7 linked regions of the Ovis aries genome follow. The protein of the gene in region 6 interacts with the protein of the main gene of each other region in a biochemical or structural test. Links are inferred from orthologs where the notes say so. Each region holds a gene or a part of one and is shown on either strand. Other genes may lie near its edges. The genes, in order: ATR, PRPF19, RAD51, ATM, RFWD3, RPA1 and CDK1.

What was found.
Region 1: the proteins of RPA1 (region 6) and ATR form a complex in vitro, tested with the Homo sapiens proteins (2 studies listed by BioGRID, with this or other methods). The link is inferred for Ovis aries from reciprocal best matches to the Homo sapiens genes RPA1 and ATR.
Region 2: the proteins of RPA1 (region 6) and PRPF19 form a complex in vitro, tested with the Homo sapiens proteins (2 studies listed by BioGRID, with this or other methods). The link is inferred for Ovis aries from reciprocal best matches to the Homo sapiens genes RPA1 and PRPF19.
Region 3: the proteins of RPA1 (region 6) and RAD51 form a complex in vitro, tested with the Homo sapiens proteins (2 studies listed by BioGRID). The link is inferred for Ovis aries from reciprocal best matches to the Homo sapiens genes RPA1 and RAD51.
Region 4: the proteins of RPA1 (region 6) and ATM form a complex in vitro, tested with the Homo sapiens proteins (3 studies listed by BioGRID, with this or other methods). The link is inferred for Ovis aries from reciprocal best matches to the Homo sapiens genes RPA1 and ATM.
Region 5: the proteins of RPA1 (region 6) and RFWD3 form a complex in vitro, tested with the Homo sapiens proteins (3 studies listed by BioGRID, with this or other methods). The link is inferred for Ovis aries from reciprocal best matches to the Homo sapiens genes RPA1 and RFWD3.
Region 7: of the proteins of RPA1 (region 6) and CDK1, one has a biochemical effect on the other in vitro, tested with the Homo sapiens proteins (2 studies listed by BioGRID). The link is inferred for Ovis aries from reciprocal best matches to the Homo sapiens genes RPA1 and CDK1.

What each region holds. Positions count from the first base shown.
Region 1 is NC_056054.1:247,100,564-247,104,063, forward strand, and holds part of ATR (serine/threonine-protein kinase ATR), read left to right. Parts: intron 1-313; coding exon 314-484; intron 485-2,236; coding exon 2,237-2,431; intron 2,432-3,500. UniProt on the Homo sapiens protein: Serine/threonine protein kinase which activates checkpoint signaling upon genotoxic stresses such as ionizing radiation (IR), ultraviolet light (UV), or DNA replication stalling, thereby acting as a DNA damage sensor.
Region 2 is NC_056074.1:34,605,910-34,609,962, forward strand, and holds the start of PRPF19 (pre-mRNA-processing factor 19), read right to left. Parts: upstream 2,801-4,053; 5' UTR 2,581-2,800; coding exon 2,562-2,580; intron 902-2,561; coding exon 752-901; intron 556-751; coding exon 479-555; intron 1-478. UniProt on the Homo sapiens protein: Ubiquitin-protein ligase which is a core component of several complexes mainly involved pre-mRNA splicing and DNA repair. Required for pre-mRNA splicing as component of the spliceosome.
Region 3 is NC_056060.1:34,474,521-34,478,020, forward strand, and holds part of RAD51 (DNA repair protein RAD51 homolog 1), read left to right. Parts: intron 1-236; coding exon 237-354; intron 355-1,493; coding exon 1,494-1,585; intron 1,586-3,500.
Region 4 is NC_056068.1:17,556,450-17,559,949, forward strand, and holds part of ATM (serine-protein kinase ATM), read left to right. Parts: intron 1-145; coding exon 146-517; intron 518-1,267; coding exon 1,268-1,459; intron 1,460-2,199; coding exon 2,200-2,295; intron 2,296-3,399; coding exon 3,400-3,500.
Region 5 is NC_056067.1:1,596,559-1,600,058, reverse strand, and holds part of RFWD3 (E3 ubiquitin-protein ligase RFWD3), read left to right. Parts: intron 1-1,537; 5' UTR 1,538-1,539; coding exon 1,540-2,117; intron 2,118-3,500. UniProt on the Homo sapiens protein: E3 ubiquitin-protein ligase required for the repair of DNA interstrand cross-links (ICL) in response to DNA damage. Plays a key role in RPA-mediated DNA damage signaling and repair.
Region 6 is NC_056064.1:22,789,323-22,793,513, forward strand, and holds the start of RPA1 (replication protein A 70 kDa DNA-binding subunit), read left to right. Parts: upstream 1-1,391; coding exon 1,392-1,424; intron 1,425-4,191. Other genes in the region: SMYD4 (SET and MYND domain-containing protein 4), read right to left, coding at 1-74. UniProt on the Homo sapiens protein: As part of the heterotrimeric replication protein A complex (RPA/RP-A), binds and stabilizes single-stranded DNA intermediates that form during DNA replication or upon DNA stress.
Region 7 is NC_056078.1:15,814,874-15,819,020, forward strand, and holds the start of CDK1 (cyclin-dependent kinase 1), read left to right. Parts: upstream 1-1,347; 5' UTR 1,348-1,418; intron 1,419-3,881; 5' UTR 3,882-3,906; coding exon 3,907-3,943; intron 3,944-4,147. UniProt on the Homo sapiens protein: Plays a key role in the control of the eukaryotic cell cycle by modulating the centrosome cycle as well as mitotic onset; promotes G2-M transition via association with multiple interphase cyclins.

The sequences.
Region 1 (3,500 bases), on a different chromosome or scaffold from region 6:
ATTATGGATAAGGTACTCTGTTTTAAGAAAGGTTCACTCAAGAAAGGTTCATTCTGAAAAGTTGGGAAATGTTAAAATACAGGCTTTGCTCTGTGCTAGTGGTGTAATCCTTAAGAACATATTCCAGTTTAACTAAGCCTGTTTACTTCATCTATAGAAGGGTGTTTATATATACCTCATTAAGGTTGTTATAAAAATTAAATGAATTATTCAGGTAATATGTTTAGAACTCTGATACTGGCCTTTATGTTAGCCTAAAACATAATAGTTAAATGTTCTTCCTTGTGTGAAAACTAACATCATTTTGCTCTAGTTTTTGGTAGAATCCCTCCACTCCAGTCAGATGACGGCACTTCCTAGTACTCCATGCCAGAATGCTGAGATGCGAAAACAAGATGTGGCTCACCAGCGAGAAATGGCTTTAAATACCTTGTCTGAAATTGCCAATGTTTTTGACTTTCCTGATCTTAATCGTTTCCTTACTGTACGTTGCAAAGTATAGTTGACTTTATTGAGGTTTTCAGTTCAGTATTTTGTGTTTATTCCATTCTCTCTCTATTTTTTAAAAAAATCTGGTATTGTTTATTATCTGGCAAGTATAATGAGGACCATAGATTTTCAAATTTACATGTTATCTTTTGACTTTGATATAATATTACTTATGTTATAAAAGTGAAATATGTGTTGTTTTGAGTCATTGCTCTTTATGGTTAGCTATCTTGAAAAGTTAATACTAATTAATTAATGCTAATTAATTCCATTTACCAAGCATTTATGTCTTTAGTGCTATGATGGGTTTCGTTGGTAATGCAAAGTCTAATATGATCATATCTATCCCTAAGTAGTGGGAGTACAAAATAATGCTATAGATAACATGTGAATTCAGATAATCAAGTTTGTAGTATGTAGTGGTTTGGGAAGCCTTTGAAAAGTCATTAGTGGGGCTGAGGTTTCAAAGATGGATGGTGTAGGTTATCTTCTTATGTGTTCCCAAAGGCAAAGTTTATTATTATTAGTTAATAAATTATAATAATGATCTAGGCAAAATTTTTCTCTACAGAATTTCATATTTTAACAAAATTAAATTGTGTGTAAATTGGACAAATCTTAGAAGAAACTATGATACTGTGCTCTAAGGACCACAAAGATATTTTTAACCTTTTCATTTAGTAATTTCATCTGGGGACCTCAAAGCAGAGGTTTACTGCAGCATTATCCAAGTATCAAATAAACAAAACCCTGAGAAGAAACTTAAGTATCTAATAATTAGGTCATAAAATATTATGCACTGTAATACAATAATTATAAATACTTGGTAGAAACTACCTTATAATGTCCAGTCTTACTGGATTAAGTTGAAAGACATAACACAAATAAGGTGTAAGTACCTCTGAGGGTAGGGTTTGGGTCTTGTTTATTGTCATATCTTCAGTGCCTATAATAGTCACTGACATGTAGTAGTTGTTCGTTAGATATGTGAATAAATGAAAGGCCAATCATTTTATGTTTGGAATTTTATATATTATTTAAGAACAAGATCTTAAAGGAAATAGACCAAAATCAAAATAGATTTGTTGCCATGTTGGGATGACAGTGTATTAAAAAGGTTTTCTTTAATATTGTAGCATCAACTTCTTTTTTTTTTTTTTACACTCAACGTATTTTATTTTATTTATTTTTTTAATTTTTATGTTTACTTTATTTTGCTTTACAATACTGTATTGGTTTTGCCATACATTGACATGAATCAGCCACGGGTGTACATGAGTTCCCAATCCTGAACCCCCCGCCCTCATCAACTTCTTAATTTGAAGAAGTTAGAATACTGTATTTATGGCTCCTTTTGTTTATTGTCTAAATACTAGTTAGATCAAATAATAAATCAAGCTTGAAACCTCTGCTTTAATTAAAAGCATGAATACATACTAATGAGAAATTATTTTCTTTGCCTCTTGAACATTAGCTTCTTTATTTCTATCTCTCCCCACCTCCAGTGTAAACTTCATACCATCAAGAACCTTGCCTATTTTTCACTGCTGTATCTGCAGTGCCTGTGCCATAGTAGATGCTCAGTACACGTCTGTTGAGTGAATAAGTAGTAAATCTGAATTCAGATATGTTGTAGGTGGACTCCAAATTTGGGTGGTATTTTTCATTATTTTTGTACATAGCTCATGTGAATATTTTATCACCTGGTCAAATATGCTTTTTGGTAATTGTAGTGTTTCTTTTTCAGAGAACATTACAAGTGTTGCTTCCTGACCTTGCTGCCAAAGCAAGCCCTGCAGCTTCTGCTCTCATTCGAACTTTAGGAAAACAATTAAATGTCAATCGTAGAGAGATTTTAATAAATAACTTCAAGTATATTTTTTCCCATTTGGTCTGTTCCTGTTCCAAGGATGAATTAGAACGTGCCCTTCATTATCTAAAGGTAATTGAATGTTTGTATATGTTTTACTCTTTTATGTAAATTAGTATTATAGGAAAGCTATTGTGACATTCTTATGGAAGTAGAGTGAGTAGTTTATAATTTATCTTAGAGTAATATAAGTTCAAGTGGTACATAAATAAGTATTGTCCTGGGCCAAAGGAGAGTATTAAATAGAAGTATTCTTTTGTTATTTTTTTTATTGTTTTACAGTGATGATATGTGATAGTCATCTATGCATGGATCAGCTTCTCAACTAATTTCATTTTAGAATTAATTGATTGGAACTATCAGTGACTAATGATAGATAATTATATCTGTCAGAAGAGGCAATATCCTTCAACTGTAGTATTATGACAGCATTGAATTTAGTTACTTCGTGCTCTGATTACAGTTTGGCCCACTTTCTTGCTAGTTTTCAAATTTAAAATTATAGCCTGTGCTGCAAATTTTGGTGTCGTAGTAGCAACAAAATCTGAGGAATAAGAGGCTACATGGGAACAAGAGAACCTGTCAGATATGCATATGTAACTATTGTTTTCCTCCAATGTTAATTTATTTCCTGTATTTCATGATATGCCAGCTATGGATCTCTTTCTACATGAGTCTTTTTGAGTATTGAGTGTATTTATTTATTTTGAGATAGAAAATCTGTGTTATGAAAGTGGAATGGTAACAGCATTCCAATGCTTACATGTCGGAAACTTTGCTAAGCAATTTTTATGGATTATTTCACTTGCGTAACTCCTCTCAGTTACCCAGTGAGATAAAGTACTATTATTTTTCCATTTTGTGGATGAGAAAGCTAAGGCAGAGAGAGGCAGAGCCACTAACTTGCCTCTCAGCAGTTATATTTCTTTGAATGTAATGACATTTTAAAACTTTATAAAAAACTATACTCCCTTTAAAAAATTTTATTTCAAAATAAAGTCTGATCACTTCTCTTTTTTACCTGTAGTCCATGCAAACCTACCAGGAAAATTCAAGATTAGAATCGTTTTCCAATGCCTTTTTAAATATTATTAGTAATTCTTGTCACCTGATCCAGAGTTCCTGATTAACTATAGCATAT
Region 2 (4,053 bases), on a different chromosome or scaffold from region 6:
CACCTCACCAGAAAGGAATAAAAACACTACAGCTGCTGTTTATTGACTGCTCTCATTGCGTCAGGCACTGAGCCAGGCAGTCCTCAAGATGCAGTCTTTGACTCATTCATATTTAGAGCACCTGCTGTGAACCTGGTTCTCACTGCTGGGGCTCTAATGAGTAAAACAAGTCCCTGACACCATGAAGCTCATACTCTAATTTTACTCTGAGTCTCTGTAAACCCTGAGACAGGTACTAATCCATGCAATATGGTCAGGAAAAGTAGCACTTGGATACTTGCCAAGGGACGTGGCAAGTGGGCAACGGAGCAAAGGGTGGAGCCCAGATCTGTGTGACATTAAGAACCAGGCTTCTCTGCTCTCACCCTCCCCTCAAAACAGAAAATAAGGCTCCATCCCTCCCATCCCCACCCATGTCCTAGTCCAGTGATCCCTTCTTTTCAAGTCGCGAAAATATAAATTCTCTTCGGGGACTCACCCACTCATCCTGCAAGGCTTTCAGAATGGCTGGGATGCTGGTGGCTGAGGGAGGCTTGGGCCGGATTGGGTGAGCAACTGCCAAGAGAGACAAAGTGGGTGTGAAAACCCATGACCTAGGGCATGCTGGCCCTCCCACATTCTTTCTTTCCCCTTCAGCACTAACAGACCACCGTTTCCTCCCCTGGCTCCCACATGCTATGCACCCGCCACCCTTCCCACCTTCCCAGGCTTTAGGCTAGGACAGCCTGGACTGGGGCTGGCCAGCAGGCACCTTTGATATCAATGAGCTGCTCCTCGGACAGAGGCTGGTTGTTGATGGGATCTGTGCCATTCTCTGCAATATACTTCTCAATGAGCCGCCGCTCATACACATGATTAGAGACGGGGGACACACAGGGGTGTTCTGGCACTTCATTGGAGACTGCGGAGAAAAGGCAGGTGGTGAGCCTGGGGTGGTGACAGGGACCCTGGGCCAAGGGGACGCTTCACCTTCGGCTGGCCTCCACAAGACCTTGCTCCCTACACTCAGCTAACAGGAATCAAGACATGACACCAAGCCAGTTTTGGACTGTACCCACAATGCTTTCCAGCCACTTAACTAGCTTCTCCATCAGTCTCTGACAGTTAGGTAGTCAACAAATAATTGCTGCACAACTACTAAATGCTAGGCACCTAGGGAGCAGTCAATAATTCCTGCCCATCTCATTTCTGAACAAAAACGCTTAGGCACCCATTATATAGCAGGACAAGAAGATACACACAAAGCCATTCAAGTCTCAGACTAGGACCTAGATGGATTCTCGGACACATTACAAACCGATGTGACAAGTGCTATGATAACAAAGTATTTACATGGTGTTTACTAGGCGCCAAGCTCCACTGTAAACACTTTCCATTGATGAAATCATCCTCACCACTCCCCAACAGAAGTATCCATTTACATCCCTGAGGATTGGGACTGTAGCTGCTCTCTGACTTCCAGTACAATGCAGGTGCTTGGCAAATGCTCAGGAAACATCTAACAGACCAGCTGATGGATACTGAAAAGACCTTCCTCAGGACTGAAACAATGAATGTGAAAATACTCTGCACACTGTCATTTCTTTAACGCTTAAGGACTCTTTTTCTAGTCACATTTCCCTTCACTCTTTCTCTCCTTTATTTTGGATTTATGGGGAGGTTCTGAGAAGAGTCAAGAGCTCGAGAGTTAGGAAGCCGAGAGAGAAAAGAATGAGAAACTAATAACCTGATGAACAACCACTCTCCTCAATAACATATCCAAAAGACAGGACAAAGCATTTGAAAAAAGCATGGATTCAGGATCAGAGAAACTGGCTTCGTCACACAGCTCTGCCACTAACTAGCTGTACTGTTTTACAAAAGCCACATTTCTCCTTGAACCTTACATCCTTATCTGTAAAACCGGATCTTTATTTCTGCTTTGGAGAATTGCTGTGGGGACAGAACGACTCTGCAGTTTTGCAAGCACGCTGTAAACCAACAGAGGCTTTTCCAAATGTGCAGCTGTTTTCATCAGCCCTACAGGGTGAGGCTGGTCTGGCTCCCAGGCCTGTCACCGCCTCCAACTCACTGTGCGATCTTCGCAAACTGCAGAAGCGCTGCCTACCCAAGCGGGGCCTCAGACAACACATCCAGTGCCAAGGCCATTATTTTTGCAGTTGGGGAAACTGAGGACCGCATCCCGGAGCCAGATCACAAAGCCAGCTGGAGGCGGATCCTGCACAAGCCCTCTGGCTTCCTGCTTCCTACAGAGAGCTCTTTCCCCTGCACCACCAGCTCCCCGCTATCCAAGCCTCATATCCACTGCGCAAACGAGATGGGCTGCCTCTGTGCAGCCTGCGAGAATGCACCGGAGACGTTATGTAAACTATGAAGCGCTGCGCAAACTGACCTCACGCTGGAGGAGGAAGACCCCCCCGGGCTGACAGGCCGCCGCCCTGCCTCCCCGGAGCCCCGTTTTTCAGGTCCAGCCCCGACCCCGGCGCCGCAGAGGCGCGCAGATCCTCACGCTCAGCTCTCCGGCCTCCAGCGCCCCGCGAGCGGCCGCAGCCGATACTCACTAGAGCAGATCAGAGACATGGCGCCCTCGCTGCACTCCGAGGCTCCTCACACTGGACTCCGGGATCAGCTACTGGGCCCCCGCGGGACACTTCCAGTTCCCTCGCTGCTTCCAGACGCTCCGCTGCGAGCGGGGAGCTGCCCCGCGGAGCGATGCTTGCGAATGGCTTCACGTGGGACTGTGGCCAGTCGCGCGCCTCAGCCTCCAGAATTTAACGGAAACTGTCCTTTCCCATAATGCAATCAGGCAGGAAAGGGCGCGCCAGGAAATACTCGGCTATTTCCGGGCCCTCTCGGCTAGTTTCGTAAAGCTCCAATGGCTGGGAGAGGAGATTCGAAACTACATTTCCCTTAATGCACTGGGACCTTAAAGCCAATCAATTTAGCTGCACTCTTGAGCCAGGGGCGGTGGAACGACTGTCTTGCAAATATTGGAGTATATGAGAATTTTTTTTTATTTTTAATGCTATTAGTCTTTTATTTCGTGAGCATGGTATACTTTGATTTACTTGAAGTGAAGTGAAGTCGCTCAGTCGTGTCCGACTCTTTGCAACCCCATGGACTGTAGTCTATCAGGCTCCTCAGTCCACCCAATTTTCCATGCAAGAGTACTGGAGTGGGTTGCCATTTCCTTCTCCAGGGTATCTTCCCAACCGAGGGATCGAACCCGGGGCTCCCTGTCTGCAGGCAGACACTTTACCGTCTGAGCCACCAGGGAAGCGGTCTTCTGTAATATTTTTTCAGTATAGTTTTATATTATTGTCCATAGTGGTTTTGCATATTTTATGTCTATTTTTGAGTACTCCATAATTTTTTATTCTATTTTCAAATTTTTAATTTATTTTTAATTGGAGGATAATTGTTTTACAATGTTATGTTAGTTTCTGTAAGAATTTCTTAAGGAACTTTTAAAAATGCATTTTTCTGGGGTCTCATTTAGAGAGTCTGCATTTTCAGTTCGTGCCCCATGTGTTTCTCTGGCAAGTGTTTCTCAGAGGATTAGCTTTGGAAGACCCAGTGAAGACGAAGATACACATGGGTAGAGAAGCTAACACTGGCTAAGAAACTCTTCTGGTCTTGCCCCTACTACCAATTTGCTCTGTGATTTTGGGCAAGTCATCTGCTTCTTGGACACACTGGCCTTTCAAGCCCTCAAACTTATCCACTCTGGTTCCAGATCCTTCACCTGGAACACTTTCCTCAATCCCTGCCCTTCTCCCCACCCCTCCCATCCTTTCCAAAGTAAATCCAATCTCACCCTAAATAGCACTTCCTCTGGAGTCTCTTTTCTTGACCCCTGACTGAATTTTAGTCCCCACAGCACCCTGTAATTTTCCTCTGAGTCCCTCTGGGATAGCTATAATAATTTATTTCGAAGAACTTATTATTTATTTTTGGTTGCGCTGGGTCTTCACTGATGTGAGAGGGCTTTCTCTAGTTGCAGTAAGCAGGGGTTACTCTTTGTTATGGTGTGTGGACTCTCATTACAGTGGC
Region 3 (3,500 bases), on a different chromosome or scaffold from region 6:
TGAGTATATTATTTGAATTGACAATTAAACAATTGCCAGTCTTCTTGGAGTCTCTAAATTAGTTTATCATTTATTTGCCAGAGAGAAAATAATCCTAGAACTAGAACTTACGAGTAAACTTTTTAAAGAGAAATCATTCTGGAAATTTTGTTAGATGTTACCTCTTCCCACTACATGCCTGATTCTTACTTTACTAAGTGTATTTCATCAGTTTGACATTTCTTATTTTTCCCCAGACTGAGGCAGCTAAATTAGTTCCAATGGGTTTCACCACTGCAACTGAGTTCCACCAAAGGCGATCTGAGATCATACAGATTACTACTGGCTCCAAAGAACTTGACAAACTGCTTCAAGGTATCGTAATCTCTTATCCTATGTCATGAACTATGGTTAACAAAGCATCCAGGTTATAGAACATAACTAAATTATTTGGTTCATGTTTATGTGTTAGAATTAAGAAATAAAGGAAAGTATTCCGTAAGACTGAAGGGTGAGGCTGACTTTAAAAATACGAAAATTATCTGCCAATTCAATAATTTAATCTCCAATTAATAATTGCATTCTTGAGAGTCATCTCCCTCTGCCTAAAGAAATAATATAATCTTTTACTCTACCACAAGGTAGAGAATCTGATGGCTGGTTAAAATACTACACTGTAGTATCAGCACGTTGTGGTGCACACTAATTTTCAGGACTTGATGCAAAGCTGTAAAGTTTTTGAACTTTTGAAAGCATCGCTGTCCTAAATTTTAGTGTTGGGTTGGTTCTTGCTGCTTCCCCAAATATTTGATCATGTAAGTTTCTTTTTTGGGGGGCACAAAATAGCATGAGTTCAGGAGTCACACTCAGATTTGAGCGTTTGCTTTCCCTCCTGTTCCCTCTCTGGTGCAGATTACTTATATTCTATGCCTCAATTTTCTTATCTTATTGAAGAAGAAAAGGTCTTACCTTTGACCTCATAATGAGGTCAAAAAAAGCTTCCTACCTTATAAGTTATTGGAATTAAATGAATTGATAGCACAATGACAGATACACAAAAAATACTTGGTAAATGTTAGATATTATCTATAATTTATTTTTTAAATGACTGCTTATTGACTTGTGATGGTATTATTCTGTATATTGGTTGTGGTGATACTTACATGAAGCTACAGATATGATAAATCGCATAGTACTACACAGACACACAAATGAGTGCATATGTAGCTGGAGAAATCGGAATAAGCTCTGTGGATTGTATGGATGTGAATTTTCTGATATTTATACTATAATTATATAAAACATTAACATTGGGGGAGGCTGGATGAAGAATGCATGGAACCTCTATATTTCTTTGCAGTTGTCTATGAATCTAGAATTATTTCCAAATGAAGTATTTTTAAAATTACTGCTTATTGAAGATTGGGTCTCTAAATTATATAAACATCTCTCTGATGAGCTACTGGGACGTTTCTATGGTTATGTTTCTAACATTTGTATTGTGCCTTTTTTAGGAGGAATTGAGACTGGATCCATCACAGAGATGTTTGGAGAATTCCGAACTGGGAAGACTCAGATCTGTCATACATTGGCTGTAACATGCCAGGTGAGCTGTTGGGGCTCTGCCTAATCATATCAGCAAGAATGAGTTGATTCCTGCTACTGGCAAGCATCTGTTAGCATGGACCAAAAAAGCACTTTCTCTGTCTTCAAAAATGCGAGGGGGACTTTCCTGGCAGGGCCAGTGGTTCAGACTCTGAGCTCCCTCTGCAGGGGCACAGGTTCAGTTCCTGGTAGGGTATTGAACCTGTGCATGCTGCGTGACTCAGCCACAAAAGAAGAAGAATGCTGTGGCTAATTAGAAGACAGGTTGCTACTGTAGGACTTCCAGACAGCTCGGAAACTTTCAGATTATTAATTTCACATACATTCTTGCTATCCACTAGGCCTCTCCTGGCTTTTTCTGCCCTCTTCACTAGTTTAGATTTATGATTCTTCATTAAAGTCATTCCTTTACAGATACCCTCAGATTTACACTCCCCATCTGAAGAGATGCCGTTCTTAGATGAACCCTATCTGTTTTCAGTGCCTGATTTCCCCAATAGCTGATCATACTAGAGAAAAATCTTAACATAAAGCTGGTTGACCTCACTTTAAATTTAAGATGACAGGCTTTAACATTCAATACCGCTTGGCAGATCTCCTGAAAATTTTTCATTCAGGCAACGTTTTCCTCCACTCAGTAAGAATCTTCGTAATTTCTCCTTTTTCCTCAAAATTTCATGCTTCTCTTCAGCCTCACTGTTAGCCAAATTAATCTAAACTGTTCTTCACATCAAAACTATAAACTCACGTAGCTTTTATAAAAATTTTATGAAGTATAGTTGATTTACAATGTTATGTTAATTTCCGCTATCTAGTAAAGTGGTTCAGTTATACTAATAAGTACATTTTTTTTTCATATTCTTTCCCATTGTGGTTTGTCGCAGGATTGTATTTGTTTATCTGGCTGCATTAGGTCTTAGCTGCACCATGCAGCTTGTAGGATCTTTGTTGCGTCATGTAGGATCTTTCACTGCAGCGTGCGGACTCTCTAGTTGTGGCACACGGGCTAGGTAGTTGCATTGCTCAGGTTCCGGAGCATGCGGGCTCTAGTTGTGGCCATGGGCTTAACTGCTTCACAGCATATGGGATCTTAGTTCTCCAGTGAAGGATCGAACCCATGCCCTTTGCACTGCATGGTGGATTCTTAACCACTGGGTCACCAGGGAAGTCTCTTGTAACAGAACATTGAATGTAGTTCCTTGTACTGTATAGTAGGACCTTGTTGCTTATCCATTCTGTATAATACTTTGCAGCTGCTAATCCCAAACTCCCAATCTATCCATCCCCAACATCCCCCTCCTCCGACTTTTCTCTATGTCTGTTTTGTAGATAAGTCCATTTGTGGTACATTTAATTTATTTTTTAAAATATAAATTTATTTACTTTAGTTGGAGGTTAATTACTTTGATCACATTTTAGATTCCATGTGTAAATGATATCACATGGTGTTTGTCTTTCTCTTTCAGACTTAGTTCACTTAGTGTGATAATCTCTAGGTCCCTCCATGTTGCTGCAGATGGCAGTATTTCATTCATTTTTATGGCTGCGTAGTACTCCATTGTATATCTGTATAGTAGTCCATGGAGTAGTATTTCATTGTATATATGCACATCTTCTTTATCCATTCATCTGTCAGTGGACATTTAGGTTGCTTCTATGTCTTAGCTGTTATGATAGTGCTGCTGTGAACACACGGGTGCATGTATCTTTTAGAACTAAAGTTTTGTCTGGGTATATGCCCAAGAGTAGGATTCCTGGAGCATATGGTAACTCTATTTTTAGTTTTTTGAGGAGCCTCCATACTGTTTTCCACAGTGGCTATACCAATTTACATTCCTACCCACAGTGTAGGAGGGTTCCTTTTTCTCCACAACCTCCCCAGCATTTGTTATTTGTAGGCTGTTTAATGAGGGCCA
Region 4 (3,500 bases), on a different chromosome or scaffold from region 6:
AGTTTATTTTGAGGGTAGTCTGGAAAATGATGATGACAATGTTCTAATTAGGATATTGTATGAGTACTATGTCTATATATTTATTTTCTTTTGGCATCTTAATGCAGTAGAATAATTTTCAAATTATTTGTACTTTTTTTTTTAGGTTACAAATCGCAACTCAATTAATATCAAAATATCCTGCAAGTTTACCTAACTGTGAGTTGTCACCATTACTAATGATACTATACCAGCTTCTACCTCAACAGCGACATGGGGAACGCACACCATATGTGTTACGATGTCTTATGGAAGTTGCATTGTGTCAAGGCAAGAGGTCAAACCTAGAAAGCTCACTGAAGTCAGATTTATTGAAAATCTGGATTAAAATTTGGTCTATTACTTTTCGTGGTATAAGTTCTGAACAAATACAAACAGAAAACTTTGGCTTACTTGGAGCCATAATTCAAGGCAGTTTAGTTGAGGTTGACAGAGAATTCTGGAAGTTATTTACTGGGTCAGCCTGTAGACCTTCATGGTAAGTTGACTATTAATTATATTTTGCAGCATATATTTCCTGATTTTTGTAATTTCTAACTTCAGTTAAAAATATGTTAAATTCTGTTTCAGATTCTTTCGTTTGTTAAGGAAGTCTTAATAAATAAGTTTGAAATATGAAGAGATTACTAAACCCAGTTTTAAAGATTACATATCTGTTTGCTCATAAATAGAATAAACTATTTCTTTTAGTATTGCATACTGTTACAATAAGATAGTACTTAGTCAAGAATTTTCTCAAATGTAGTCGAATTTTTTGTGCTCATTTAGTCCATAAAAGTTTATATATCTACCGTGTGCCAGGACATGTCCTAAAAATTGACCACAGAGTAGTAAAGAGATACACATGGTCCCTGTCCCTCTAAGAGCCTAATTGTTTTAAAACTGAAGTATAGTTGATTTACAATATTGTGTTAGTTTCTGGTATATAAGCAAAGTGATTCAGTTTTTTCTATATGTGTGTGTGTGTGTGTGTGTGTGTGTGTATATATATTTGTTTGTTTGTTTCGTATTCTTTTCCATTATGGTTTATTATAGAATGTTGAATATAGTTCCTTCTGTATATAGTAGGACCTTGTTGTATATCTATTTTACACATAGTAATTTATGTCTGATAATCCCAAATTCTTAATTTATCCCTCTCCCACCTCCTTTTCCCTTTGGTAACCATAGTTTGTATTCTATGCAAAAAGTTTACTTTTAATATTAATTGTCTTTTGTTTTGCGACAGTCCTGCAGTATGCTGTTTGACTTTGGCACTGACAATCTGTGTAGTTCCAGAATCAGTAAAAATAGGAATTGAGAAAAATATATGTGATGTAAGCAGAAATTCTTTAAAGGAATTGATAATGAAATGGCTCTTATTCTGTCAGTTAGAGGATGACTTTGAAGACAGTACAGAACTACCTCCAATTCTTTGCAGGTAATTTGAGTTCCTTAGCATGCTGCTGCTTTTAAAATTTATTTTGTAAGGTGCTCTCCATTTCTTATTTGATACTAGATGGCTTTATTTTGCAGTGATTTTCCAGGATTTTCCAGAATTAGTCCTAACTATTAAGCAGTCCCTTTGTTTTTATAGTGTTCTGTGTCTTTGTACCTGAATCTTTGCCCAAGTTCTTTTACTTTGTTTTCTCTCACTACCTAGACCAGTGAGAGTTACATGTTTATGATTGTCCCTGAATAGGTCCATCTGAACATACATCCACTCAGGTATATCGTGGAATCATAAGGAGAATGCTTTCTGGGCTAAATATGTTAAATTAATGAGGGAAAGAAATGAAAAAAGACAAACTGGTACCTAAGCACTAAAATGGGGAGCAACTTGCCCACTTAACCTTTCCTCAGTCAGTAATTGGAACTGAGTGATTGAAGGGGCTCCTCTGGATCCTAGTGATTTGACTTTAATTTCACAGTTGTTTAGGCTCTTTGAAAATTGAATGTGGTCCTATATCTAGAAGTCCTGAAAATGATAGTAACAAAAAGTTTATGTTCCTTAAGTACTTTTTCAATTGTTAAGAAATTTAGTACAGATGGAAACAGTTTCAATTTGGGGTCCAAATTTTAGAGATCAATATTTTTAGTTAAGCGTGGGCGTTTAAGTTTAAAGAATGCTTTAAATGGCTTTTGGTCTTTTAAGTAAAGATCTATATTTTTACTTCATAGTAATTTTCCTCATCTTACCCTGGAGAAAATTCTCGTGAGTCTCACTATGAAAAATTGTAAAGCAGCGATGAATTTTTTCCAAAGTGTGCCAGAATGGTATGTTTCCTAATGGAGTTCTGTGTTGTTTTAATTAACAAAGATAATAATTTTAGCAGAGTGGTAGCTACATCTTAAAAATTGTGAACCAAATTGGTCAATTAAAAAAATTATAACTGTTAGGCAAGGGAAAATTTCTTAATTAAAATTTCTTAAGTAAAATTTCTTAATTAAATTTCTTTTATTTCAATAATTATAATTTATGTTCTGTAATGTATTTATGATGGGATATTAAGAACATAAACATCATGTGGGAAAGGGTTTTTCTATATGTCAAATAAAATCTGAATGACTACTTTAAAAACTAATGATAATTTAGTATAGGGAAAACAAAAATCTAAAAACCCCATTTTGGTCGATTGGCTTCAGAGGCTTATGTTTATCACTGTGACTGAAAATGATTCACTGGCATGAAGTTTCTAGTCTTTCTCAAGAGGGCATAATACGAAATAAATCTACATTTTGGAGAAATGTGAAAAAAAGGGAAAAGTTTTCAGACAATTTGTTTTTCATTTTCTTTTCTTTATTTATTTGTGTGCCTCGAGTCTGAGTTGCGACACGTGGGATCTTTTATTGTAGCATACAGACTCTCGGTTTGGCACGTGGGCCCGGTAGATGAGCTCTCTAGTTGTGGCAAGCAGGCTCCAGAGTGCACAGGCTTAGTGCTTGCCACGTGAAAGCTTAGTTGCTCCACTGCATGTGGGATCTGACCAGGAATCAAACCTGTGTCCCATGCATTGCAAGGCAGATTCTCAACCACTGGCCCACCAGAGAAGTCCCTTAGATAATGTTATTCTTAATGTTTATATCTATTGTTAATTAATGTTTTTTTGATATTTCCTGAATTTGCCTTTTAGATTGAATCTTTTATTTCTCTTGTCCATTTGTTAGTGAAATTGCTACTGAATAATGAAATTCAATGTAAGTAGTTATCAAAATCCAAAGAAGAAAAGCATTTAAAAGAATAATTCACTAATTACATGAGCAATCTTTGAATAAAATAGATTCAGTGTTAATGCTAAGTTAATGTTTTATTTGATGCTGTATGAAGGTAAAATAGTAGACAATTTGATCTTATAAATTTAAAATCTTACTTCTTTAAAGTGAGCAACACCAAAAAGATACAGAAGAACCTTCATTCTCAGAAGCTGAAGATCTGTTTCTTCAGACAACTTTTGACAAGATGGATTTTTTAACCATTGTGA
Region 5 (3,500 bases), on a different chromosome or scaffold from region 6:
TATGCTGACCACTCCAGTCTGGCCTCTACTCATCACTTTGGGGAAACAGCTCTTTTCTAGATTATCTGTCACCTCTACATTGCTAAATCTAGTGGTCATTCTTCCCCTCAGTAGCACTTGACACACTTGACTGTCCCCTCCTTGCATCATTCTTCCAAGACACCACACTCTCCCAGGTTTTCTCCTACCTCATGGTCTTGGTTTCTGGGTTCTCTTCCTATAACTGTTATCCTTTTAATGTCTCTGGTATTGGTCCTTGGCCTGCTTTTCTTCTATCTCAACTCCTTCTTAGGTAGTTAATCTATCCCAAGATTTTAAGTGGCATGACTATACTGAGGATTCTTAAAGCTGTCTACTGTTCCATCTCCACTGCTACTAGTCTTGCCTCTGTGACCACTAGTTTATACTCTCATAATAGCCTATGAAGTGGTCACTTTGCCTGCACTTTTCCTCCCTTACAGTCCATTCCTAACGCAGAAGAAACTCCTTACCAAGGTCTTCTAGTGAAAGTGTTGTGTATCATCAACTTTACTCCTCATATTAAACCTCATACTGTCTGCTCTTTCTTACTATTCTCGTTATGCTGGGCTTCCTAGTTTCTCTGACGCACTAAACCCATACTTAGCAGACACCTTGTATTAATTTTCTTCTGAAACTCTTTCTTGGCTCTTCATACGGCCAACTTCTTTTAATCCTTCTTGTCTTGGTTTAATTTTCACTTATAAGAGGCCACCTCTCACTGTTGTGTCTTGCCCCCCACTCTCAAAACCAAATGGCACAATATATAATTTTTCACAATGATTTGTTTATTCTCTCATTTGCTAGAATGTAAATTGTATTATGCTGGGTCTTGTCCACTTATCTGTTTGCCTCTGTGGAGTGTCTGACTATATGACAGATGCTTAAATATTTCTTGAAAAATAGACTAACGTAGTGGAGTAGAGACAGGAAACAAATAATGAAAGGAACATAACCAGTGCTTAATAAATATTTGTTGAATGGACTAACAAATGGACTTAGAGATAGAAAACAAAAGTAATGAAAAAGTTGAAGTAAATAAAGGTTGCTCAGCCTTTTTGGAGGAAATAGGTTAATTTCTATTTTGAGTTATTAATTGAGTTATTTTGTGGAAATGTTCTTTCTGTGTTTATTTTTTGCACTTTAGTGCCATGAAAGATGAATATTGCCTACTAAAATTAAATATAGCATTGTATGCATTTGTTGTAGTAAATGTCCATATATAGGTCATGACAGAACTGCAAGAGGTCTGGGGGATTATTTTCAATAGTTCAGTTCTCTTATTTTATAGATTCTTTTAAAGACTAGTGCTGTGATCACATGACTTTATGTTTTCGAAGGGCAAACAGGATAACTGGTTAAAAGTCCTTATAAGAAAAGAGCTAAAATCATCTTTTAAGTTTCTCAGTTTTATCAAGAATGATCTTAAACAAGTATTAAATGATAGACATAATTAGATAAAACATGCCACGTAGCTGATACATTTTACTAATACTTTTTACAAATATTGCTTCCTCAGTGATGGCTCATGAAGCAATGGAATATGATCTTCAGGTGCAATTAGATCATGGTGCTGCAGATCAGCCTGCTCCTGCGGAAGTGGTCAGCAGCCAAGGGGGACCACCCCTGCTCCAGCCTCCTCATACTGAGGAGGTCAGCAGCCAGGAGGGACCACCCGTGTTGCATCCTATACTTGCTGAGGTGGTCAGCATCGAAGGAGGACCACCCCTGCTCCAACCCATTCCTGAGGAGGTGATCAACAGCCCAGAGAGAGTGCCGCTGCTTCCGCCTATTCCGCAGATATCTGTTGATCTGACAGAGGAAGTGGAGCTCTCAGGAACAGAGACTGTGGGGAACCTCAATCCAGGAGTTTTAGAGGAGTTTAGGCTGGAATCTGATGCTAACCGCACTCCCCAAGTGCCTTCATTGGATTCAATGAACAGCTTCATCAGTGGGCTGCAGAGACTTCATGGCATGCTGGAATTCCTGCGACCAACTTCAGACCGCAGTGTGGGGCCCGTGAGAGCGAGGAGGAATAGGAGGAGTTCTGCTTCACGGAGGGCAAGAGCAGGAGGGTCCCAGAGGACAAACAGTGCCAGGTAAATAGAAATGTAAATAGTGGGATTAGTACCTGATTGGGAATTATGAACTTTAGGCCCTGATGATAGCCCCAGTGCTGCCAGGAATTGGCATTGTGACTTGGCAAGTCGGGTAACCTTTCGGAACCCCCAGTACCTCATAAGTCAGATGAAAATGAAATTACTTGGTTTATTTACTTCACAAAGTAGTGGAGAGGATAAAGGTATACAGATAGGTTTTGAAAACTTGTTGGTAGTTTGTTAGCAGTGGTGTCTGCAGAGGCTGGCTTTTCTTTCGATCATTTGTCTCTTGTACATCAAATATATACATATATATATTTAACTTGCAAGTCCACTCCACTTGCCCAAGATTCATTGTTCATTGGCACTCCACTTAGTGGTACAGTAGATTTTGTAAGATGGGCAGGCTGGATTTAGAGAACCCTTGTGAAAAGTAGAGTGTGAATTAATATAGAACTTATCTGACTAAGTGGGAAACATTCTAGCCCTCCTCTCCTGAAACTGTGTTGTAGAGTTAAAAATAATTTTCTTCTATAGGTTTTGGTTTGAACTTGCCTCTTGAAGGGGTTAGCTGTCAAGTCTTGACAGTTATTATGAAGAATAACAGTTGTCTATATTTTAATCTGTTTTTTAACTTCTGCTTTATTTGAAATACTTAGTTCCACAGCTGGCTTTCTAAATGTCTTCATAATGTTGAAAGAAATTGAATTCAACCTTTTCATTTTAAATGTGAAAGAAACTTGGACCCTGAGAGAATGATCTATTCAGGGTCTCGGAGTTGACAGTACAGAGGAAGTTAGAGCTGATGTTGGAACCTGGATCTGACTGTTGTCTACAAAAGCAAATAAAGGAAGCTTCAATCAGATCCATTTCTCTAACACTGTGAAAATAATGAGAGGCTTCCATGGTGGTCCCGCGCCTAAGACTCTGCACTCCCAATGCAGGGGGCCTGGGATCAATCCCTGGTTAGAGAACTTAATCCCACATGTGGCAACTGATAGTTTGCATGCCACAACTAAGACCCGGCACAGCCAAACAAATAATAAAAAATAAATATTGAAAAGAATGAGATGGCACTAAATAGTGGTAGCTGGGCCATCTGTTATCTGTGTTTTACAAATGAGGAAGATGATGGGGTGATTTATGATTTGACTGAGATAACCCTGGACTTGGAATTGTGCCTTCTGATTTTGGATTTCAGCATCCTTTTCAATGGATCCTGCTGATTAGTGTATCAGGGCTGCTGTTACTGTGGCTGTAGTCTCTAATGCCTGGTCAGTGCTGGATGTGATCCATCAAGGGTGAGAAGAGCCTAGTTCTGTGTTGACAGGAGTTGCAAGTGCATGCTGCTCTGTTATTTTAAGGTGCCATTTACAATGATTT
Region 6 (4,191 bases):
ACCTGAATGGACTTGGGGAGCAAAGACCACTTCTGAAGTACGTAGGATTTCCACTCATCCACGGGCAGATCCATGCTACTTCAGACCTAAAAAATGAATAAGAAAACAAGGAATTCAGTTTTCTACAAATGCATAATTCCAGAAAATCGATTTCATTCAAGCATGCACCACGAGGCCACAAAATCAGATCTTGTAGTCTCTTCCTACAGTTGTTTACATGCCAGGGAAGGATGTATCCTCTCCCGCACCAATTCACATCCCTTCATTCAGAAATTATTTACTGAAAACTGACTTTGTTCCTGGCATCGTACTAGGGAACGGTTATACAATGATGAATCAGATTTCTTACATAGTTCAGTTTTTTCTTTTCAATCCCGAGGTCCCTTCTTTAGTTCAAGCCCTCACCATTTCCTGTCTGGCATTCTTTCTCGAGTGTCATAATTAGTCTTCAGGCCCTCAGACTATCCCTCCCTGTTCCCCCTTCCCAATTTAGTCCATCCTCCATACTGAGACCGATGTCAATTCTCTGCCTTAAATTCACTGATGCTCCTCCTAGAACTTGGGGAAGCCCAGTACAAACCCTTTATCATTTGACCCCTGACCTACTTTCTGATCAAGTCTCGCTTTTTCCTCTATACCCTACTATCCGAATTTGCACACATCCTTCAAGACTCAGTTCAAATGGTTCCTACTCCGAGAAGCCTTCCCTGATTTTGGCACCTGTGACGACAGGCGCACACTTTGCGTCTCTCCTGGGACCCAAACCACGTCTACACTGAGTTAAGGCTACTCACAGCAGAAACTCCCTCGACATACTGTGCTCCCCTCTGGGAGTAGGGACCAGGTCTTATTTACCTTGAGAGACCCCCCCCACTGTGCCCAGTTCAGGGTCTGGCACCTGCGGGAGCTCAGCTCGGTGTTGCTGAAAGAAGCGAGTCACTGCTTCGACTACTTTCAGTAGCAGAATTATCAGGGAACCCCTCGAACACTCCTCTGGGCTAGCAGTCTATGGCTGCCCGCCGAAGGCCGAGCGCGGTACGTTTCCTAGAGCCCGCGGGGAAAGCTCCCGGAACCCCTCCGCCCTGCGCCCTTGGCGGCGCCCGCGTCACGGTTCGCGCGCCCCAGCGCTCGGCGCCCCGCCCCTAGGCCCCCGCCATCCCGCAACAAGGCTCGGGACCCGGACTCCGGTGGGTCACGTGAGCCGCGTGCCGCGCCTCAGCCAATGCGGCGGCTGCTTGGCCCTGAGACTGCCGCGTGCCGTGCGCACGTCGGGAGGCGGGGGCGGTTCACGCAGCTCCTCCGGCCAATCGCCTTGGAGCGCGCGGGTCCCCGGGAGTAAAGCCAGGCTTGTGTTGGGGGAGCCGGAGCGCGGGAGTTGTTGCAGCGGAACCATGGTGGGCCACCTGAGCGAGGGGGCCATTGCGGTGAGGCGACGCCTGCGAGCTGGGCGCGGTCCGGGGCGGCTGTGGGCCCTGGGGCCGTGCGGGTGGAGGAGGGGGAGAGAACACAGGAGCCGGAGTGATAGCGGGGGTTGGGTAGGAACCCCTGGATGACTCCCTAGAATCATCAGTTAACGCATTTTTATCGTCATCTTTTTCAACATGCTCATGTTTTTCCTGCTTCAGGAATTGAAACAAAGTAAACGATTGATCTTCCCCCATCTCTCTCCTGCAGCCACTCTTTCTTCTTCCCTTCCCCCATCCGCAGCGAAACTTTTTGCAAGAGTTGTTAGTTTTCAGTTCTTTTCCTCGCCTCGCATTCCCCTTTAACCGACTCGAATTAGTCACTCTCCTCCCTGATCGCTGTAACCCTGGCTGAAGTCAGCAGTGCCTCCTGGGGTTGTTAAGTCCAGCAGACACTTTGGAGATCTAAATCTGTCAGTTCTCAGCAGCGTTTGACTATCGGGCAAAGCTTTCTTCCGGTAGCATCCTCTTCTAAGACGGGAGAAAATCCGTCTTATTTTCAGCTTGGCTTGTCTTTCCCCGTCTTATTTTCAGATCCTTCTGTAAATTTTTGTTGACTCAAGGCTCAACCCTAGGCCCTCTTCTCCCAAAACAATAAAATTACCGTCTCTGTGTCAGTTGCTCACAAGTTTTTTTTTGTGCAGGGCCAGCTTTACTCTGAAAGACAAACCTCTGTCATCTGTGTACTTGATAATCTCAAAGACATTTTAAATTCAACATGTTCCAAAGAAAATCTAATATCTTCCTAAATTTGGGCCTCTGCTGTCACCTGTCTGGATGCATGGCACCATTATTCATTAAGTTATGCCAGCTAGAAATTGTGGAATCATTCTTCCTTTAAACTCTCACCCTGGCTGTCACCCTACGTAAGTTTGGTCTGTTATGCCTTCACCCATGTCTCTTAAATCCAGCTACTTCTCTCCAGGCACCATTGTTTGTGCCTGGCCTTCTTCCTTTAACCCAGCATAATCTTCCTCCTGCCATTCCCAACACGGCATATTCCTACCTGTTCTTTCCTTTTTTTCAGCTTTTTAAAATGTAAATTGTAAATTCCTGGTATATTTCATACTCCTGCCTTCCGCAGGGGCTTTGAACATTCTTTAACCTGTGCCTACTGCCTGGGTGGTGCTTTTTTAAAAAAATTATTGTCATTAAATTTTTTATTTTGTATTGGAGTGTAGCCAATTAACAACGGGGTGTTCTTCATTCTTCTCCTGTTGACTAACATAATCTTCAAGTCTCCACTCAGTTACTTCCTCAAAGAACTCTTCCTTGACTCAGTTTGCTAGGCTTAAGTCCTTTTATTTTCCGACCCTAATTCCTGCTTGTTCACCTATTATCTGTGATTTCAGGCAAGATATTAAACTTTGTCTTTCCTCTTCTGTCACAGGCTAATCATACCTAGTACCTGTTGCCTGTGATTAGTGGAGGGATTAAATGAGCTATTAATTTAAAGTGCTTAGTCCATGTCTGATACATAATATATGTGCATTACTTGTTACCTGTTATTAACAGTTGCAGATATGATTTTACATTAAATATTGTTCATTTCATTAATGTCAGTTCCTTTCTCTCACCCCCCCGACTGGATTGTAAATGCTCTGAAGCCTGAAATCTTGTCTGATTTTTTTTTTTGCCCAACACAGTCTCCCCGATTCCTGGAGCAGTGCTAGCAGGTATTAGGTGCCCAATAAATGTTTACTACTTGCGTGTGAGGCAGTGAAAAGAAAGGGACAGAGCTGGATGGAGAGGCACAGTTGGCAAAGCGGAGTGAATATTTTATTTTATTTTTTATTTTTTTTGGCAAAGCGGAGTGAATATTTTAATACATTAAAAATAATTAACCTTTAGAAGTGATTGCAAACTGTAGTCCTTGTCTCCTTTATAGCTGCAACCTTGCATCTTTAAGACAAATTAGGAGTTCTTTACTTTTAAATTAAAACAGTGACTAAGGTATTATTTAAATAATTTGCTGAGTTTTTGTCACATTCAAAATTGTAGTATTACTTAGATCTTGTTCATAAATGACAATGAAAATTTATGTGTGTGTTTTGGTAGAGAACCATTGTCAAATTTCTCATCTAAAGCAAGTAATATTTTAGTTCAAAAGACATAGACCCCCCCCCCCACAAAGGGCAAGCAACTAACGCACACAAATAGTAGGGACATTTTCAGCAAGAGCTAACATAAGAGATTATTCATGGAACTATTGTGGTAAATAGAACAAATAGTATTTCTGTCTTAAGTAATTAGGTAATACAAAGAGAGGGGAAGGGAACTAATATTTTTTATCATTTCCAATGTGCCAGATATTTCATTATAGTCAGTACTTACAGTAACCCTGTAAGGTAGATTTTTATCATTAACCCCATCTTACAGACGAAGAAATTAAAATACAGAGAATTAGTTTGTGCACGAGCTGAGGATTTGAACACATACTTTTGAGCATTACCTTCTGTTGCTTTGTATTTTTTTTCCTTACAGTTTTATGGAGATGTAATTGATACCGCACTGTGTACGTTTAAAGTGTACGGCATAATGATCTGACTCACATCGTGAAACTGTTACCACAATCAGTTTAGTGAACACCTGTCACCACACACACATGCAAAAGGAAAAATAGTATTTTTTTCCTTGCCATGAGGGCTCTTAGGACTTACTCTCTGAACAACTTTCATATTTAGCATCGTTAATTATATTAATCCTATTGTATATTACATCGAGCCTG
Region 7 (4,147 bases), on a different chromosome or scaffold from region 6:
CTTTAAAATTAGTACCCTAAACTAGCAGAGAATAGTCTTCTCTAGAACACAGTTTTCATTTTATTTAAGGCAATTTAAGGCAGTTTTCATTTAAAATGTGAATTTGAGATTTTAAAAATAAGTTTTAAAAGTTATTAGGTTCAGGCCAAGTTTTCCCAAATCTCGTACTTCTACTATGAATTTAAAATATTCTGTCACCCAGGAGCACAAAATTGCCAAGGTTGAGTGTTTGTGCCACATATAGGGGGCCATGTGATAAACTTATTCCATTCCTTATCCTAATCTGGATCATCAAACACATAGTTGTAGAGGGCATGGTAATCAGTATTTGTTCCAGATCTCGATACAGTCAGTGGAAAGACTCTTACTATCCTCAGTTCTATTTTACTTTTTTATTTTCTTAAAGACTTAAGAATGATGTTCAGGTGCAGAAATCTCTTTAGGATATGGTGGAGGGCAATGAAAGAGTTTGGGGATACGGGATTATTTAAAGTGTAATTTAGATCTTTTTCTTCTCCCACAGAAGTGTGAATTTTTGTGTTTTTAAGAACATTTAAAATTCTGATGTGAGAATATTTTAACATTTAAGAAAAGAAAAATTTTGCTTTTTAATTTTTAAGTCAAAATGTTACATAGATTTTAAAAATGAAATTTAAAACAGTGAGGTGAAAACAGCTCAGCCATATATGTGTGTGAAATGTGACAAAAATGTATCTAACTCATATTCATATATATATTTATATATATATGAAAAGTTTCTTTACCCTGTTGAGGACATCTTTCCTAGTTTTCTATTACCTCTTTCTATTAAAACAAACTTTATTTGTTTTGTTTTTTGGCTGCCTTGAGTCTTAAGTTGAGCATGAGGGATCTTCCCCTTGGGACATGCAGAATCATGCTCTTTGACCCAGACTGAGATTCATTATTTTAGAAAAGCATAAATATACATTAGCTTTCAGTATCAGAAATGAAAGTAATGGGATCTGGATTACGTGTAGCACCACTTCTGTGATGAACTATTTGAATACCTCAAATTTTTATTGTGCCAATATTGGGAGAGAAAAAAACCCAACCCTGAGAGGACAGTAGATTTCTTATGACTAGAAACAATAAGACGACCCTATCTTGGAACGCGCTTGCGCTCAGACTCAGTTGGCGCCCGCCCTTCTGCTTTTTCTCCAGCCGCCGTTTCCTCCACCTTTCGCGCTCTAGCCACCCGGGGAGGCCAGCGTTAAGGGAAGCTAGGCTCTGATTGGCTCCTTTAAAAGTCTACGGGCTATCTGATTGGTGAATCCAGGACCCTTTAGCGCGGTGAGTTTGAAACTGCTCGCACTTAGCTCCAAAGCTGGCGCTTGGAAGTTAGGGAGAGCGTCGCCGACTTGGTAGCCGCCGCAGCTTTCGCCGCGGGATAAAGCCGGGTAGCGTTGGTGAGGTCAGGGTGTTGCCTATGGGGTGTCCACTCGGAAGGGCTGGCTCGCGGACCTTGGAGGGGGAGTATTAATGAAGCAGGTGATAATTGGGAGGCTGGGCTCTGGGCAGTGGGGTTCTGCGTACCGCCAAGCCCGGCCTTAACCGGAGGCCCCGGGCCTGCGCATGGAGCGACGCCCAACCTCGGCTTCAGTGGGAGGCGTGGGGGAGCCCAGCCCGGCCAGGCAGGGTTGGCATTGCTGTGGTCTCTGAATTGCAATCTGGGGTCGCGGGCGGCTGAGGAGGCTTTCTGGGGTTGATGGAAGGCAGATTTGTGCCTTCGTTCGCCGACACCAAGCGCTTGTGGAGTGCCAGGCTCTGCCCTGCAGCTCCTAGCTTCGCCTCCGGGAGTGGAAAGCAAGATTGCAACTCAGCCCGGTGCTCGGGCCTGCTTCTAATCCCAGGTGGTCACGGGAAACCGACCGGAAGAACTAACTTGTGGGCCTTCTCAGCTTGCCTCTCTGCTCCCATGACCCTAGCTTACCTGGAGCTTTTAAGAACACTTATCCTGGGCATAGACCCCGAGAGAACTTGGATTTTTTGGATTTTATTTTATGCTTGGTGGTTGTTACATACAATGGAATTGGCAAAAACTGGAAATCTAAGAAACGCCGAGAGTTAGAAACGTGTCATTTAAAATCCTTTAATCAGTTTTAACGTGCAGGTCTTGCTTTCTTTAAAGACCTGGAGGTGTCTGGGTGGATGAAGCCATTGGTATTTTACATCCTGCCACTAGGAATAGAGGAGGCATTCAAAAGGCATTACGAAGCCACATCCTTTATTTAAAATAGTTGCAACCAGGGAAAGGTGAAAGAGTAATTGAACCCAGCTTTGAAATTGAGTTAGTTTTCAGTTATTTTGTTTAAAATAAGCTCCACAGTTTCATTGTGATTTGGGCATATTACAGCTGGATATTGAAGAAAAGATAGTTAGTCCTAATCCATTGCCATTTGTAAAATTGAACATTTTTAAGATGGCCAGAGTAGTGCAATTTTGTTTATTTAAAAAAGTTTATCTCTGCTTGTGTCTGGAATGATTTTGAAAAAGAATGTGAGAAATTTAACTCAAGGGTCAATGTAACTTAAGGTTCAGTGACCTTTATGATTTTATCAGTGATATAAAATGATGGTTTGGGCTTCTGAAGTTGATGTTTCCATGGCAAACTTACCAGGAAGTCTTGAGTATCTGGTTGTCATTTGGGCTTTTTTTTTCTTAACCATTTTTTTGTGTGTGTGATTCAAGTATATGGACATTCTTTGTTCTTGACATTGCATGGGATATAATTAGACTTTATGTATGGAATTGCCCATTTTCTTTTAGAGTGCTTAGTGATATTTCCTACTTTACAAAAGGTATCTTGAAAGTTTTTTTTTATCATGTTTGTGTTACGTGACTCCTGACAACAAGAGAAAGATAAAAACTGTCATTTGAGCAAGTTGAAATGAATATACTTTTGCTGCTTTAAATATTTTCTAATGGTTGAACAGTGTGACCACATTTTAGCTCCCTACTCATGTCTTTAAAAATTGTTTATTAACTTCATAAAAGTATCATGAAGCTACAAATTCAAGTAGCATTCATTGCTAAACTATTTGGGTATAACTGGCGCACATTGATGAGCCTTGGAAGTCTTATGTAAAGAACATCAGGGTTTTCTTTGGGACGGATAGATGTTGATGTCTGAATTTGAAAGTTAATTTTGAAAGAAGCCCCCAGGTGGCTCTAGTGGTAAAGAACCTGCCTGCCAGTGCAGGGAACATAACAGACAGTGGTTTCCATCCCTGGGTCAGGAAGGTACCTTGGAGGAGGGCATGGCAATCCACTCCAGTATTCTCGCTTGGAGAATCCTATGGCAGAGGAGCCTGGCAGGCTCCATAGGATCACACAGAGTCGGACACTGAAGCGACTTAGTATACCAAAGTTATCCAGGTATAGGATATACAAATATTTCCAATGTTTCAGAAGCTAAGAAAGGTGGGAGAGTCTTGAGCTCTTCCCCTTGTAAATATTGTTTTAATAGAATAGCTAATATTATGGAAAAATTTTTAAAAATTTATTTGTATTTGGCTGCACTGGATGTTCATTGCCACAAGTGACTTTCTCTAGTTGAGGCAAGTGGATGCTACTCTCTGTTGCGGTGCACCAGCAAGGTGCACAGGCTTCAGTAGTTGTGATGCTTGGGCTTAGTTGCCCTGTGGCATGTGGAATCTTCCTGGACCAGGGATTGAACCTGTGTTCCCTGCATTGACAGGTGGATTCCTATCCACTGCACCGTGAGGGAAGTCCTATTATGGAAAGTTAGTACTGCTCTAGGCACAGTGGGAAATTCTTTACTTGTAATATCTTATCAATAACTTAAAAGCACCCTTTGAATTGGTGACATGTGATCAAATAAGCTTTTCTTCTCATTTTAGGATCTACCGTACCCACTGATTAACTATGGAAGACTATACCAAAATAGAGAAAATTGGAGAAGGTGAGTGGCTTTAATAATATACAAGGAATTTTAAAAATGATTTAATGGTTTGACATGTAAATATTCAAATTCAGTTTTTAAAGTATCCAACAGTCATTAGTACATTAATATATATGTTCTCATATATATATGCTATATATAGTAGCATAAGCAAAAAAAAAAAGTTAACCTTTCAAGAGCACTGAAATTATTCTGACATGTCTC